Stegostoma tigrinum: one gene and its partner. The main gene of each other region encodes a partner of the protein of the gene in region 2 in a complex. Links are inferred from orthologs where the notes say so. Each region holds a gene or a part of one and is shown on either strand. Other genes may lie near its edges.

Region 1 (7,936 bases), on a different chromosome or scaffold from region 2:
TTATTACAATAAATTCTATCCAAGCAAAGGCAATAAAGCAAGAGCAGAAGTAGGCCATTCAGTCCACTGAGTTCTATCAATGAGATCATGGTTGACTTGATAATACACAACTTGACTTTTCCTCATAACCCTCGATTTCCTTACTGATTAAAAATCTGTCCATCTCAGCCTTAAAATGTACTTGATGACCAAGCCTCAACAGCCCTCTATGACGAAGAATTCCACAGATTCACAACCCTCGGAAGAAATTCCTCCTCCTTCAGAAAACATTCTTCATTTTCTGAAGAAGGGTCAAGGCCCGAAACATCAGCTTTCCTGCTCAGCCTGCTGTGTTCATCCAGCTCCACACCTTGTTATCTTACAACTAATAAGCAGGCTCAGGTTGGAACTGGTACAACTTGTCAACCAAATAAATTTAAGGTGGCCAGAGTTTTGTGCTGTTGCTGCATTTGCAAGATTTAAAAAAAAATTGTCAGATAGATTAATTTTAATCAGGTGGTGCTTGAATTATTCAGAGCTACTCAATTTCATTGCAGCCAGTTTCATATGCTCGTGTGTCATGTGGAAGAGGTAAACTAATATCTTCATTGCTGTCAAACTTTCCAACCAGGAAATCTGTCCCATTTTATGGTTAAAAAAACAACTGCAAGTTAATGTTTACAATTCTGAGCTTTAATCTTTACACTCAATTTAACCTTTTCAATGACAGAGGATGTGCCATTTCTGTCATATCAGCACTAAATAAAATCCATAAATCTCTTCAGAATTATGGGTGGTAACAAATTCAAAACAGTGAACTAGGCACAAAATTCTTTGGGTAAAGTGTGGTTAATAAATGTAACTTGTCACCACAAGGGGTGTTTTTTTTTAAAGCAATAGCAGTGCTTGACTGCCACAGGGTGGAAAGGATTAGAATATTATGCTTATAGGTTCAGACAAAGTAAACTAGGAAGAGGCCATAAAATCCATCAATTAAGCAAGTGGGCCTCAGATCAGTTATATTTTCAATGCTTGAAGAAACTGAACAAACTGAAAAATATTTGGACAGTTTCAAGTATATCAGAAGCATGCAGGATTTCAAGACGATATTTCAGTAAAACATGTCTGGGGTGCAATATCTGCACACTCTGGATGTGTTAAGATCTTGTGGCACAGTGGCAGCATCCCTACCTCTAGGCCAGAAGATGAGTTCAAGTCCTAACTGCTCTGGAGGTGTGTCATAACACATCTGAGCAGGTTGATTGAAATAACTAAACTAAACGCACAAGATTGAGGCACACAGATACAGTACGACTGTACTGTATGACATTTCTGTTGCGATTTCCAACATGATACCTCAGGATTGTCTCAAATCTTATTTCAACAAGAAAACACAACAATGGCAGTTGCAAATTGGAATGATAACCCATTAATTTCAAAAGGACTTCTCATTACAAGAAAATGGAAGTCAGCAACTGCAATACAAGATAATTAAAGAAGGTTTGCAACAGTGAGGCACAAAAATGAAAGATTAAGAAACAACAGTGCGCATAAGAAATACTGAAGGCCTCTGCCAGCAGGTTGGATTTGAAGTTCATTCCTCCCACAGCCATCATCTTCTGTACAATACCATTACAACTCCCAAAGTTCAGCACTTGAAGAGGATGCACGTTGAACAAATCTCCCTGCCTGCAATGCTTCATGGGGCTGCTGGAAAGAGGCGCATGACCTGGACATTCACGGAGTATATTAATACTTTCTGTTTATATCCCAGGCCTCTGGTGGAAAGTTACTGAATTCAAGTCCCCAAGATTACCAACGACTTGCTTTTAGTAAAGAATAACTCATTCAGCATTTGGATGAAATGTTTTTTAAAGTTCCATATTCAAGACATTGGTCTCACAAGCTACATTGGGACAAAGGACAAGCTTTCGGAGCCTCAGTCCAAAGCCTGTATTTTCAAATAAACCTGTTGGACAATAATCTAATATTGTGCGATTTCTGACTTTGTCCACCCCAGCCTCTCCACACTGTGACAAAGGAAGCAGTGCACGATACCAAACTTTCAAGTAGACTCGATTTGTTAACTACGTTTGAATATTTTATACCAGATGCTTAGAATTTAGACAGAACGTGAAAACAACAATTGGTGATATACGTACACCAACAAATATTATACAATTCCAAAGGTGAGGAGAATAGTCATGCTCCAGGAACTAAGGGAAAAAAAAGTTCGATTCACTCTGTCGGAGGTCTTTCTCAAGTCTAAACGGGGGCTGTATGCCGTCCACTTTGTAACATTTACCCCGAACAAGCAGGAACTGGGAGGCTAATAGTTTTGCTGGGTGTGAGAAGCAAGCACTGAAAGGTTATCATATCAGATCCATCCCTTCGACAATTTCTTCTCTAGACTCAATCAGATACGTACAACATATATGGGAAATTTTGCGACACTTTCCTTTTATCCCTGTGCTCCCCACCCCACCAAAAACAACTAAATACATTGCCATATTCATCCTTCCTTTTTGGCATGACGTTTTTCAGTAGTTAGTCGATTTATGGCTCTCGACAGTAAATCTGGGCAGCCTCCCTTCTGACAAAAAGACACCCCCCTCTCCAATTCTTATTAAACCCAAAACACAATTAGTCCCAAAGAGTAGAGCTGCCACAGGAGAAATTAAATACCCATCATTATCAATGCTTTTAAAAACATTTTGGATGCAATTGGATCACAACACAATGAGGTGATTTAGATCAGACTCATCTGAGAAACTTGAGCTGTTTAATGCATTGATGCTGCGGAAGTAGGTGGCGCCCACCGGCCGGCTCTTCACCGGAGGTGGGAGAGGGAGGAGGAAGTTTAGCCGCTTTCTTACTTACCGAGTCCATTGCTCCACTGGTCGCTGTCTCAGCTTTCCTTCAGCCGCTTTCTTCCCCACGCCGGACTTTCACCTCCGCTCCCCCATCCACACAGCACCGCTTTCCGTTCCGCGCCTGCTCACCAAGTCAACGAACGCAAGATGGCCCGTTGTCGCAGCTGCGCCCACCAGCCCGCTGGCGCCGCCTGCAGGCTCCGACAGGCACGCCGAAGGAGACCTGGGAAGCAAACAGGCTGGAACTGGTTTGGTGCGGGGTGGGGAGGGGGGATGAGGGATGACGGGGAATGTGGGGAGGGGAGATGTTACGGATACTGCGATGGTGGTGGTGGCGAAGTGGACGACGTGACATCCTCTATATCGGTGAGACTAAGCGGAGACCGTTTTGTCGAACATCTGCGCTCTGTACACGACAAACACCACCTTCCGGTCACCAAGCATTTTACTCCCACCCCCGCAACTCCTCGGGTGACATGTCCATCCTGGGCTTCCTCCGGTGTCACAAAGACACCACCCTCAAACTGGAGGAGCAACACGTATTCTCACCGAAAGAACAGTGGATGCTGTAAATAAGGAACAAAAACAGAAGTTGCTGGAAAAGTTCAACGGGCCTGGTAGCATCTGTGAAGGAAAAAAATCAGAGTTAACGTTTCGGATTCGGTGACCCTTCTCAGAACAAGAGGAGAGCTCTGAGGAAGTGTCCCCGAATCCGAAACGTTAACTCTGATTTTTTTCCTTCACAGATGCTGCCAGGCCCGTTGAGCTTTTCCAGCAACTTCTGTTTTTAACACCTCATATTTCGCCTTCGGTTCCTACAGCCCAATGGCCTGAACATAGAAATCACCAGTTTCAAAATCTCCCCACATCCAACCCTCCCTCTCAACCCCGCCTCCTTGACCTGACACAACCTGTCCATCTCCTTCCCACTGAGCAATCCCCATCACCCCCTACGTCTATCTATTACCATCCCATCTCCTCCCCCCAGCCCCACCTATTCTCCCTCTCTCCTCCTTGACCTGACACAACCTGTCCATCTCCTTCCCACTGAGCAATCCCCATCACCCCCTACGTCTATCTATTACCATCCCATCTCCTCCCCCCAGCCCCACCTATTCTCCCTCTCTCCTCCTTGACCTGACACAACCTGCCCATCTTCTCTCCCACCTATACATCACACCCATCTCATTGCCCAATCCCCACTATCCCTTACCTGCATCTACCTAACACCACCCCACCGGCCTTCCCCAGCCTCACCCCTCTTCCCCCCATTTATTTCCCAGCTCCCTTCCCCCTCCCCAGTCCTGGCCTGAAATGTTGATTCTCCTGCTTCTCTGATGCTGCGTAACCTGCTGTGCTCCAGCTCTGCTCTGTATCAACTCTGACTTCAGCATCTGCAGTTCTTGCTTTCTCCCAGGAGGTGATGTGATCGCATGGTGATATGATCATTGTTGGGGGGAGAGAGAATGTGATGGAGGTGTGGGGATGTCAACTTGAAGGGATGTGATCTAAGGACAGTGTGATGGGGAGTGGGAGGGAGGCTGGGTGGTGGAAAGAACAAGGAACATATACTCCCAAAGTTCCAGGCAATTCAAAAAGACTCAAGGCTTGAACATCTTGTTGTTTGCAAACAAATGAATGATTTCTTGTTTGTTGCACTGGCTGTTGAGAACTCTGCTGGGAGTAGGCTGCAGGTTTGAGTTTAGAAGGATGAGAGGGGATCTGATTGAGGCGTATAAGATTATTAAGGGATTGGACATTCTGGAGGCAGGAAGCATGTTTCCGCTGATGGCTGAATCCAGAACCAGAGGACACAGTTTAAAAATAAGGGGTAGGCCATTTAGAACAGAGTTGAGGAAAAACTTCTTCACCCAGAGAGTGGTGGATATATGGAATGCTCTGCCTCAGAAGGCAGTGGAGGCCAACTCTCTGGATACTTTCAAGAAAGAGATAGATAGAGTTCTTAAAGATAGTGGAATCAAGGGTTATGGGGATAAGGCAGGAATAAGATACTGATTGTTTGATGATCAGCCATGATCATAATGAATGGTGGTGCTGGCTCGAAGGGCCAAATAGCCTACTCCAGCACCTATTGTCTATTGTTGTAGAGGGTTCCTTAAATCTGAAGATTAGAGCTGCATTTAGATTAGATTAGATTCCCTACAGTGTTGAAACAGGCCCTTCGGCTCAACAAGTCCACACCGCCCCTTGAAGCATCCCACCCAGACCCAGTCCCCTATAACCCACACACCCCTGAACACTGTGGGAAATTTAGCATGGCCAATCCACCTAGCCTGCACATCTTTGGACTGTGGGAGGAAGATAAAGCAAAATGTTTAGAATGGGTGATTTTCATTTTCATAAATTTGGAGAATAGCTGGAGTCATAAACAGCATTTTCCAGTATATTCAGAACAGTTTTCTGGAACCAAATGTTGTAGAAGAACAAAAGAGGCCATTTTAGATGTAATGTTAATATGCCAAAAGTAGTTAATAATCTGACAGGAAATGAACATCTTGCAAATATTAAACATGGTATGATCGAATTTGATACTAAAGTTGAGTGGAAGAAGAGAGAATCTCAAGCCAGGTTTTAAACTTCGGTAAATTTACTGCTAAAAATTGAACATAAACTGACACAATAAATCATGCTCAGTTGTTAACAAATGTATTTATAAACATGAAAGGTATTTAAAGTAGCAGTGCAATACAAGACAATACTTATCTCTAAAAAAAAGCCAAAGCTCCACTCTGTAGGATTAAGTAATGAGTTCACAAATCAGGCAGGATGCAGTCAGAACTTGAAGTGCCTTCTACAAATGAAATGTAGAAAGCTGGCAGAGTGGGAAAACAATAAAAAAATTTAAAGTGTTAATTGTAAAACAAAACACTAGCTAAACAAAATATTGCAGAATATTTTTGTATTGCTGAAAAAAACATTTTGTCAAAGCCATCACCTTGCACTCATCAAGACAAGTTACCAAAAAAAACCCTAAGTAAAACAGAGTTTATATTAAATGAGAAGAGTGTTCATTGATTGGTAGAGATGATGCCAATAAGAATACATATTACTGATGACTGACCGTTAAATGCCAAGTTTTGTTTATGTTTTAAACCAGGCAGTTTGACCTTGATTAGTTGAGGTTCTGCCTTTAGGAACAATCCAGGGAATGACCTGCCATCTAGTTTCTTGAGTTGAAATGCCTCTACTGATCAGAGGCCACGCCAATAAATCAGCACTCTCCTCTCATACAAGATACGTTATTTTCCCCTTACTTAGGTATTTTTTGTGAATTCTCCTACGGATACAATCAAAAAGCTTCAACAAAGTTCTATACCAATAAATGACTATAGAATATTTCATGGACAAAACATTTAGAACATTCAAGAGAGACTGAAAAGCAACAATCTAACCTAAAGATTGAAATGAATTCAATACTTAGATGCTTCACTAGTTTGTAACAGATCTATAAATGTCAGGATGTAACTACTGCCTTTACATCACTTCAACAAAGTTTTTGTCGATTAACAGCTCTGTGCGGCCAACTGCACATGAGGATATATGCTTAATATAATTCTCACCATTAAAGATGCAATGCATCATAAATATAGTTAATCTCAAGGCATTAACCACACATAAAAATGTATAAGTTCTGATGTAAGGTGTGTGATATGGATTTTGAACTAGTGGTATGTGGGTTTGATCTGTATGTATGGGGGAGGGGTTGTTGTTTAATGATTAACTTGTCAGTATCACTGGAGACATAGTTTTTGTTTTTAAAAAAACTGTGTGCATGTTCCTGGAGGAATAGTAGAAATTTGTTTGCATTAGGAGAGTTGAATAAGCAGCGAGAACACTGAAAAGCATTAATAACAAAAATTACTGTTAAAACTCAACAGGTCTGGCAGCATCTATGAAGAGAAGACACAGTTAACATTTTGGGACCAGTGACACTTCTTCAGAACTCCAGATGCTGCCAGATCTACTGAACTGGGGAGGCAATGGCTTCGTGGTATTATCACTGCACTGCTAATCCAAAGACCTAGATAATGTTCTGGGGACCTTGGTTCAAATCCCGTCAAGGCAGATGGTGGAATTTGAATTCAACAAAATATCTGGAATTAAGAATCTAATAATGACCATGAATCCATTGCCAATTGTTGGGAAAAACCTATCTGGATCACTAATGCCCTTTAGGGAAGGAAACTGCCACCCTTACCTGGCTTGGCCTACATGTGACTCCAGACCCACAGCAATGTGGTTGACTCTTAGCTGTCCTCTGAGCAATTAGGGATGGACAATAAATGCTGCCTAGCCAGAGCTGCCCTCATTCCCATTCATGAATAAAGGAACTGTTCCAGCAATTTCTGATTTCCAGCACCCACAGTTCTAAGGTTTTATAGATAGCATTAGGCTGCTTTTAGTTAGAAGGATCAGAGATTTTGTTTTTTATCTCCAAAATTTAGAATTCTTTTGTTTTCAGTCCACAGAAGTCCAGGTCGAAGGAAAGCAGAGAAAACAAATTCCCCTCGAAGAAAGTAAATAATTCAGGATAGTTAGGAAATAAACAACCTGTGTGTAAGGGGTCTAGTTTGAAAGTTTCAGACCAGAAGTGTTTGGGTAGAAAGGTTATTTGAAGCTGAGAAAATCTAAGCTCAATTGTGTGAATAACTGAGGAGGCTCCATCAGACTTTCGAGACCAGGAATTTAAAGCACCGGTTATATCAGATCTATAGATGTGATAATGAAGGGAGTTCTCTCTGATGGGGGTACTGTAAAGGGGTGTTGTTGGGAGAGATGAAATACTGTATTTCGGTTATTTTCAAATTGCTTCATATATAAATAGCCTAGTTTATTCCATTTTATCTTATTTCCTTATGCATAGTAAACTTGGTTGACTGACAAAACCAGATTTGCAGTAATACATGCTTGTTTCAGTGAAAGACCACTTCGTAGAATGAATCAAAATATGATCTGTCAAGCCAGATTTGAGTCTGGTATTTGACTTGCTCAGCTTGGATCGTAACTGGATTTAGTAAGAGAGCTGGTTAAGTGGTAATAAATTTTCTGTCTCTTGTTCAGTC
Region 2 (7,281 bases):
GTGCAAGATATTTACACTTGGGCAAAATGACACTAGCCTGACACTAGAAATGACACTAGATATGCTAACAGTGGATAAGATGGAAGTAATCGAACTCTGAAATATTCTGTTCTCAATAGTTGAGCTTTAAACTGAACTTTAAATGTTTATTTCTAGGAGAAAAGAATAGGCTCTTAAGGATAGCTAACCAGTATTTCTACTTGAATAAAAGGCACTTACAATTCACCTTGCCATCAGAAATTATTCTTGAGAAAGGATGAATCTAAGAAATGTCTGAAAACTCACAGATAAAGTTAGTCTGTTAGGATTTAAAACAGGAAGATCAGCTATGATTAGCACAATGCTGTATTTGGTCATGCAGGAATGGGGGTAGAACTCGAACATGGACTGAAAAGACTAAATTCACAAGAAGTAAAATATCAGGCTGGAAGATTTACTTAGCTTGTGCTAGAGGAAAGATCTCTCAGAGAAAAAAAACCTCACTGTGAAAGACAATTCTGAGTGTAAAAGTTCCCAGGTTGAGAATGGAAAGGAACAGAAGTTAAATCTATGAGACCTTTGGACTGGGTCCCAGAGAAGTGAATGTCTACCTAACTGTCCCCGTAAATTATATCTGTCGATTTTGCTAAAAGAAAAATAAAACAAAATAGTGTTGATTTAATTATACATTTGAACTACTACAGTCCATAACACATTGGTATACAATACTGTTAGGAAGGCAGTTCCAATAATTTGACCAAGCCATGGTGAAGGAATGCCAATATGGTTCCAAGTTATGATGGTATATGGTACAGAGAGAACGTTTCGGGTGATGGTACTCGCATGCATCTGTTGCCCTACTCCTATGCAGTAGTGGTCAGAGTTTTGGGAAGTTGTGCAGTGCATCTTGCAGATGGTAGCCGCTGCTGCGACTATGGTTTGGTGGTGGGGAAAGTGAATGTTTAAAATTGTGGATAGGATGCAGGTCGAGTGAACTGCTTGTCCTGTGTGGTGTTAATTTTTTTGACTGATATTGAAATTGCACTCATCCACCTAAATGGAGAATATTCCATCACACACCAGAATTATGCTTTGTAGATGGTGAGCAAGCTTTAAGAGAGTCTCTGAATTCCTAGCCTCTGACCTGTTCTTGTAGTCACAGTTTTGATCAATTTCTTCTCCATGATAACCTTGAGATGTTGATGTTCTTTTGACAGTGGTACAATTCTGGCCCTTTTGTGCATCACAATTATTTTATTGATCTAAGCTTGGCATCAGGTGCCAGGAGTTGAGCCCTTTAACTCTCTCTGTAAATGCCTCCACCTTCCCTCATTCATTCCAATGCTCCTTAAAGCCTACCTAATGACCAATTTTTTGGAGGCTGGTCCTAATATCCACATATATGGCTCATTCCTCCTGAAAAGCATGTTGGGACTTCTTTTAATGTTAATATTGCTCCTCAAATGCAAGTTATTTTTGTCAGGCCTCTGGGGCTAGGTTAACTTTGGAGATCTACATTTTAAAAGAGTCACCTAAACAGAGGAACATTCTGGCAAAAACCTATTGTAGAAGTCATTCTGGAGCAAAAGTACTGTTATGAGTAGAATGAGAGCAGATATGACAAGTAGAAAAGTGAAATCAGTATTGAGAGGTGGTCTAAGTTAATGTTGAAGCTTAGGTGCATAGTCTGGAAATATCCTAAATAGAAAGATAGCTTTTAACGTAAATTCTGAGAAGAGTAAGGAAGAGTTAAAATCTAATTATGAGTAAGATAACTTGAAGGGTCATGAGGACCGGAATTCTGCTCACAGCCAAGTTTAAGGGCTCTGTCTGAACATTTGAGGTAGGTGAACTAGTGTTTATGAAAAGCCTTCTAGTGATACAAGCACAGTGTAGGTATGACTCAGGTCCATGGAGCTGGTAAATAATAGGAAATATGACAGTCATGTCATCTAGTTGAATGTAGAATAGTAGTGCGCTAAAAAGGTATGTGTGAATTCTGAATCAAAAACATGACAAATAAGGTAAAGTCGCCATTATCCCAGAAGCCTAGTCTCTCATTAGAACATAGAACATAGAACAATACAGCGCAGAACAGGCCCTTCGGCCCTCGATGTTGCGCCGACCTGTGAACTAATTTAAGCCCCTCCCCCTACACTATCCCATCATCATCCACATGCTTATCCAAGGACTGTTTAAATGCCCCTAATGTGGCTGAGTTAACTACATTGGCAGGCAGGGTGTTCCACACCCTTAACACTGTCTGAGTAAAGAATCTGCCTCTGACATTTGTCTGAAATCTATCACCCCTCAATTTGTAACTGTGCCCTCTTGAACAAGCTGAAGTCATCATCCTCAGAAAAAGACTCTCACTGTCCACGCTATCTAATCCTCTGACCATCTTGTATGTCTCTATTAAATCCCCTCTTAGCCTCCTTCTCTCCAATGAGAACAGATCCAAGTCCCTCAGCCTTTCTTCATAGGGCCTGCGCTGCAGACCAGGCAACGTCCTGGTAAATCTCCTCTGCACTTTTTCCAGTGCTTCCACATCCTTCCTGTAATGGGGCGACCAGAACTGCATGCAATATTCCAAATGAGGCCGCACTAGCATTTTGTACAGTTGCAGCAAGACATCATGGCTCTGGAACTCAATCCCTCTACCAATAAAACCTAACACACCGTAAGCCTTTAGAGAGAGACAACTGCTGGTGGTTTAACCGATGGTCACTACACCTCAATCAAGGAAAGAAAATGAGCAGAAGAATTCTTCTTAGTAACCTCAGCCAGGGCAGGAATGAACCCATGTGTTGGCATCCCAAACCAGCCATCCAAGCTAACCAACCACTGTGACAAATAGTCGCGAACAAATCAAACTTTTATTGATTTCAAGTCCTGTCACTATTCCTTATTTCCTATTTTCCACATTTCTAATTTCAAAATGATATGATCTTGTCAATCTTAGAATTTCATTAACTTCAGGCATGTGTCATTTTTAAGGTGACCATATCAGTCAAATACAAGAGGAGAGAGAATTGTGGGTACCTTAAGCAATAACCCAGGACAGTGAGGCAGCGTCTACAACTGGAATGGTAAAAATACATACACTGAAATTACCGGAGAAACTCAGGAGATCCGGCAGCATCTGTGGAGAAAAAAACAGAGGCAACATTTTAGGTCAACGGACCCTTTTTTGGAACTAGTAGCAGCTTGGAAAAGGTGGAATCTCTACTAAAGACAAGGGGTGGGGGAGGGTTGGGTAAAGGACGGAGAGAATTGATGGAGAGGGAGCCCAGATGGAGAGAAAGACCATCCGACAAACAAAGTATGTCAAGGAAGGAGAAAAGCTGATAATGGGGACCATAAGTAGGTGAAAATGGGTTGCTGAACTGAAAACATCCCTTGGGGTGACAAGGTCTGGGGTGTGAGGATGAGTAAAGGACGTGGAAGAAGGTGCTCAGGCCCTAATATTAGTTAACTTGATATTGAGTCTGATGGTTGCAGGGTCCCCAAGCAGAAAATGTGGTGCTGTGCTCCCAACTTGAGCAGATCTTTGCTGGAGTGCTACAGCAGGTTTGGGACAGTAATTTGGCTAGGTAACATGGTGGTGTGTTCAAGTGGCAGATAACTGAAAGTAAGGGTCATTTTTATGGACAGAATGTAGATGTTCCTCAAAGCAGCCAACCAGCTTGTGTTTTGTCTCCACATTGTGGAGGAGACCACATTGACAGCAGTGAATGCAATAGATTGAATTGAATGAAGTGCAAGTAAATCACTGCTTCACCTGAAAGGTGTGTCTGTGGCTTTGGACAGTGAGGGAGTAAACGGGCAGCTTTTGTAATTGGATGTGAAGTGCATTGGACTGTGGGGAGATGTTGGGAACGGTGGAGGAGTGGATCAGGGTGTCCTACAGGGTACAGTCCCTGAAAAAGGCTGACAAAGAAAGAGAGGTAAATATGCATCTACAGTTCCTATTATCACTGAGGTAAATATGTATCTGGTAGTGACATCCAACTGGAGGTGGCGGAAATGGAGGCTTATCGTCCTTTGCAGACAGATGCTGGTGGGGTGGAAAATGAGCAGCGTTGTGGAAGAGCAGAAGTACTCTCACTCATGAGGGTCGAGATGACATTGACCGCCTCAAAGATGGCGACGGCAGCGGCCCCTTCACCCCCAAATAATCACAGTCGCTAGTTGGCATGCGCATTGGCCGTTAGGCTGTGGGGCACGCTGGGTAGAGGGAATCCGACAGCGATGGCGGAGAAACAGAAACACGATGGTCGGGTAAAGATCGGCCATTACATCCTGGGCGACACTCTGGGGGTTGGAACCTTCGGCAAAGTGAAGAGTTAAGTGTTTCTTTCCAGATTTAAGATGCTTCCGGTTTGAGATGGGTCCCGCTTAATGATAAATAAATTCAAGTGTCAGCCTGGACACTATCTCCATCCACCACCGCTCCCCATGCCCCCCCCCCCCCCCTCACCCCCCGTCAGTGTCGGCCCGGACACTGTCTCCATCCATCCTCCCCCATGTCCCCCACCCACCCCCGGTCAGTGTCGGCCTGGACACTTTCTGCATCCCCCCGGGACCAGTGTTGGCCCGGACACTGTCTCCATTTCCCGCTCCAGCTCATGGTCAGTGTCGACCCGGACACAATCTTCCTCTCTCTGATCAGCTTTGGCCTAGAGACAGTCACTCTTCCTCTGAACTGAATGTTGATTTTGGTATGGTTTTTCACACTAGTTTGTGTTGATTCTGGAATGGCTTCTAAGACGGGCAGTGATTCATTTTATTTCTCTGAGTCTGTTGGATTCAAGTTTCTACCCTCCAATCTCACCTCCCCACCAGCTGGACCTGACACTACTTTCCGCTGATTGCGGGCGGCAGCATAATGTGGTCAGTTAGGGGCTCCAGTCCAGGCTTGCCCTTGTGAACAGTCCTGCACTCATAGCTACTCTTGCCTGGTACCTGGCTCCACTCTTGCCTGTTTCTACCCCACCCCTTTTCTCACCCCTCTGTCTTCCTTCAGTGTATGCATGATAAGAGGTGACAAATGGAGTTTAATGCAGACAAGTGTGAGGTGATGCACTTTGGTAGGAGTAACCGGAAGGCAAAGTACTGGGCTAATGGTAAAATTCTTAGTAGTGTAGATGAGCAGAGAGGTCTCGGTGTCCATGTACACAGATCCTTGAAAGTTGCCACCCAGGTTGACAGGGCTGTTAAGAAGGCATACAGTGTTTTAGCTTTTATTAATAGAGGGATCGAGTTCCGGAACCAAGAGGTTATGATGAAGCTGTACAAAACTCTGGTGCGGCCGCACTTGGAGTATTGCGTACAGTTCTGGTCACCGCATTATAAGGAGGATGTGGAAGCTTTGGAAAGGGTGCAGAGGAGATTTACTAGGATGTTGCCTGGTATGGAGGGAAGGTTTTACGAGGACAGGCTGAGGGACTTGAGGCTGTTTTCATTAGAGAGAAGAAGGTTGAGAGGTGACTTAATTGAAACATATAAAATAATCAGAGGGTTAGATAGGGTGGATAGGGAGAGCCTTTTTCCTAGGATGGTGACGGTGAGCACGAGGGGGCATTGCTTTAAATTGAGGGGTGAAAGATATAGGACAGATTTCAGAGGTAGTTTCTTTACTCAGAGTAGTAAGGGAATTGGAACGCTTTGCCTGCAACGGTAGTAGATTCGCCAACTTTAGATACATTTAAGTCGTCACTGGATAAGCTTATGGATGTACATGGAATAGTGTAGGTTAGATGGGCTTCAGATCGGTATGACAGGTCAGCACAACATCGAGGGCCGAAGGGCCTGTACTGTGCTGTTATGTTCTATGTTCTATCCCTTTAAGGGTATTGACGAAATGTGTAACCTGTTAATTTCAGAATCATTTACTGTGTTAGTGTAATAATTGATTTATGTTAAGTTTATGATCAGCCGCTGGAGCCATTCTCATTTAAATTTGACAAATTCAGAATCAAGTACTGCAAACCATGACCATGCAGAGCCAACCCTTCTTCAAAGATATCTTTATTTTGTTCCTTTGCATCTATCTCAAAAGGGTTACTTTACTGTTCATTTACTATGTCAGTCATCTTTCCTCCGATACAATGGAGTGTTTCAGAAGTTAAATGCTGATTTTATTTTTGTTTCTTCTTCAGTGGGAGAACATCAGCTAACAGGACATAAAGTTGCTGTTAAAATCCTGAACAGACAGAAGATTCGCAATTTAGATGTTGTTGGAAAAATCAAGCGGGAAATTCAAAACTTGAAACTCTTCCGTCATCCCCATATTATCAAACTGTGAGTGACATCAATTGTGTTATGTGTTGGTAATAAATTAGTTCAGATACCATCTGGAATATTGTTCACTTCTAGGTACCACACTTCAGTAGCAACATATTCTTGGCGAACTAGTTAATATCATGCCAATTGACCAGGATTCAAAGTACATAAATACAACTCCAGGTTGTTTAAACTTGGTGCTTATTTCAAGGTGTTAAAAATATAGTGTGATGCAGTTGAAGTATTTACAACTTCCTTTGGTGGGAAAATGTAGATCAAGGGAATGCAGTTTAAAATTTGAATTAAGCAACTTAAGATTGAAATCAGGAAACACTTTTTCACCAAATGTGGGGCCCTTCAAGTGTCACTGGATGCTGAGATTATTTGACATCGTCTCGACGAGTTTGATAGATTTTTGTTCAGTAAATATATCAAGGGCATGTGGATACACATGGATGAATGGATCTGATTGAATGGCACAGGAGGCTTGAGATCTTTCTCCTGTTCTCTTCAACCTTCTGCAATAATTATTTACACTGCAATAATTGCTTTGCATATTAGGCCTTCTGCACTGTGTGTTCAGTCTTGGTATGCCTTGTTTGAACAGGCATTTTCTCGGATTTGGTTTTATTTGGCAAATTCTGCTTCCAGTATATTACTGTCTCCTGAATTAATCGTTTAGAAGTATATTTGCTCTCTGTCAGTTATTTTCATAACCATAATTTCAGTCACCTTTTAATGCTCACTAAATACAAGAAATTTACAGTTTTTCAATGTAACTCAAATTCATTATCTCCCAGTTAATGCTGCTGGACTGTTTCTGGATTTTTGCAAGGGTATTATGTTCTTAAATGGAGTAGCCAAAACAGATTCTGATATTTCCAAAGAAATTTGACCAATTTTTACATGATTATAATGCTACCTACTTTTACATTCTGAAGACGAGCTTTCTTTTTTTTTAAACCTGAACTAATTTTATTGACTTGATGTGTACCTCAAAAATCTTTTTTCATGTGT

What was found. The genes of interacting proteins can lie anywhere in the genome.
Region 1: the proteins of prkaa2 (region 2) and 5'-AMP-activated protein kinase subunit gamma-1 are in contact, whole or in part, in a crystal structure (PDB 6B1U), measured with the Homo sapiens proteins. The link is inferred for Stegostoma tigrinum from reciprocal best matches to the Homo sapiens genes PRKAA2 and PRKAG1. Residues at the interface, in NP_006243.2 of Homo sapiens: Asp329, Asn330, Ile333, Met334, Ala337, Phe340, Tyr341, Leu342, His366, Pro367, Glu368, Arg369, Met370, Pro371, Pro372, Leu373, Ile374, Asn444, Val446, Thr447, Pro530, Arg531, Leu532, Gly533, Ser534, His535, Thr536, Met537, Asp538, Glu541; in NP_002724.1 of Homo sapiens: His36, Asp40, Leu41, Ile42, Pro43, Thr44, Ser45, Val50, Phe62, Leu64, Val65, Thr66, Gly68, Val69, Arg70, Trp75, Ser77, Lys78, Lys79, Gln80, Phe82, Pro158, Glu159, Ser160, Gly161, Asn162, Lys170, Arg171, Lys174, Phe175.

Annotation. Positions count from the first base shown.
Region 1 is NC_081404.1:12,381,963-12,389,898, forward strand, and holds the start of 5'-AMP-activated protein kinase subunit gamma-1, read right to left. Parts: upstream 3,034-7,936; 5' UTR 2,869-3,033; coding exon 2,860-2,868; intron 1-2,859. UniProt on the Homo sapiens protein: AMP/ATP-binding subunit of AMP-activated protein kinase (AMPK), an energy sensor protein kinase that plays a key role in regulating cellular energy metabolism.
Region 2 is NC_081361.1:54,945,794-54,953,074, forward strand, and holds the start of prkaa2 (5'-AMP-activated protein kinase catalytic subunit alpha-2), read left to right. Parts: upstream 1-4,212; 5' UTR 4,213-4,230; coding exon 4,231-4,324; intron 4,325-6,140; coding exon 6,141-6,282; intron 6,283-7,281. UniProt on the Homo sapiens protein: Catalytic subunit of AMP-activated protein kinase (AMPK), an energy sensor protein kinase that plays a key role in regulating cellular energy metabolism.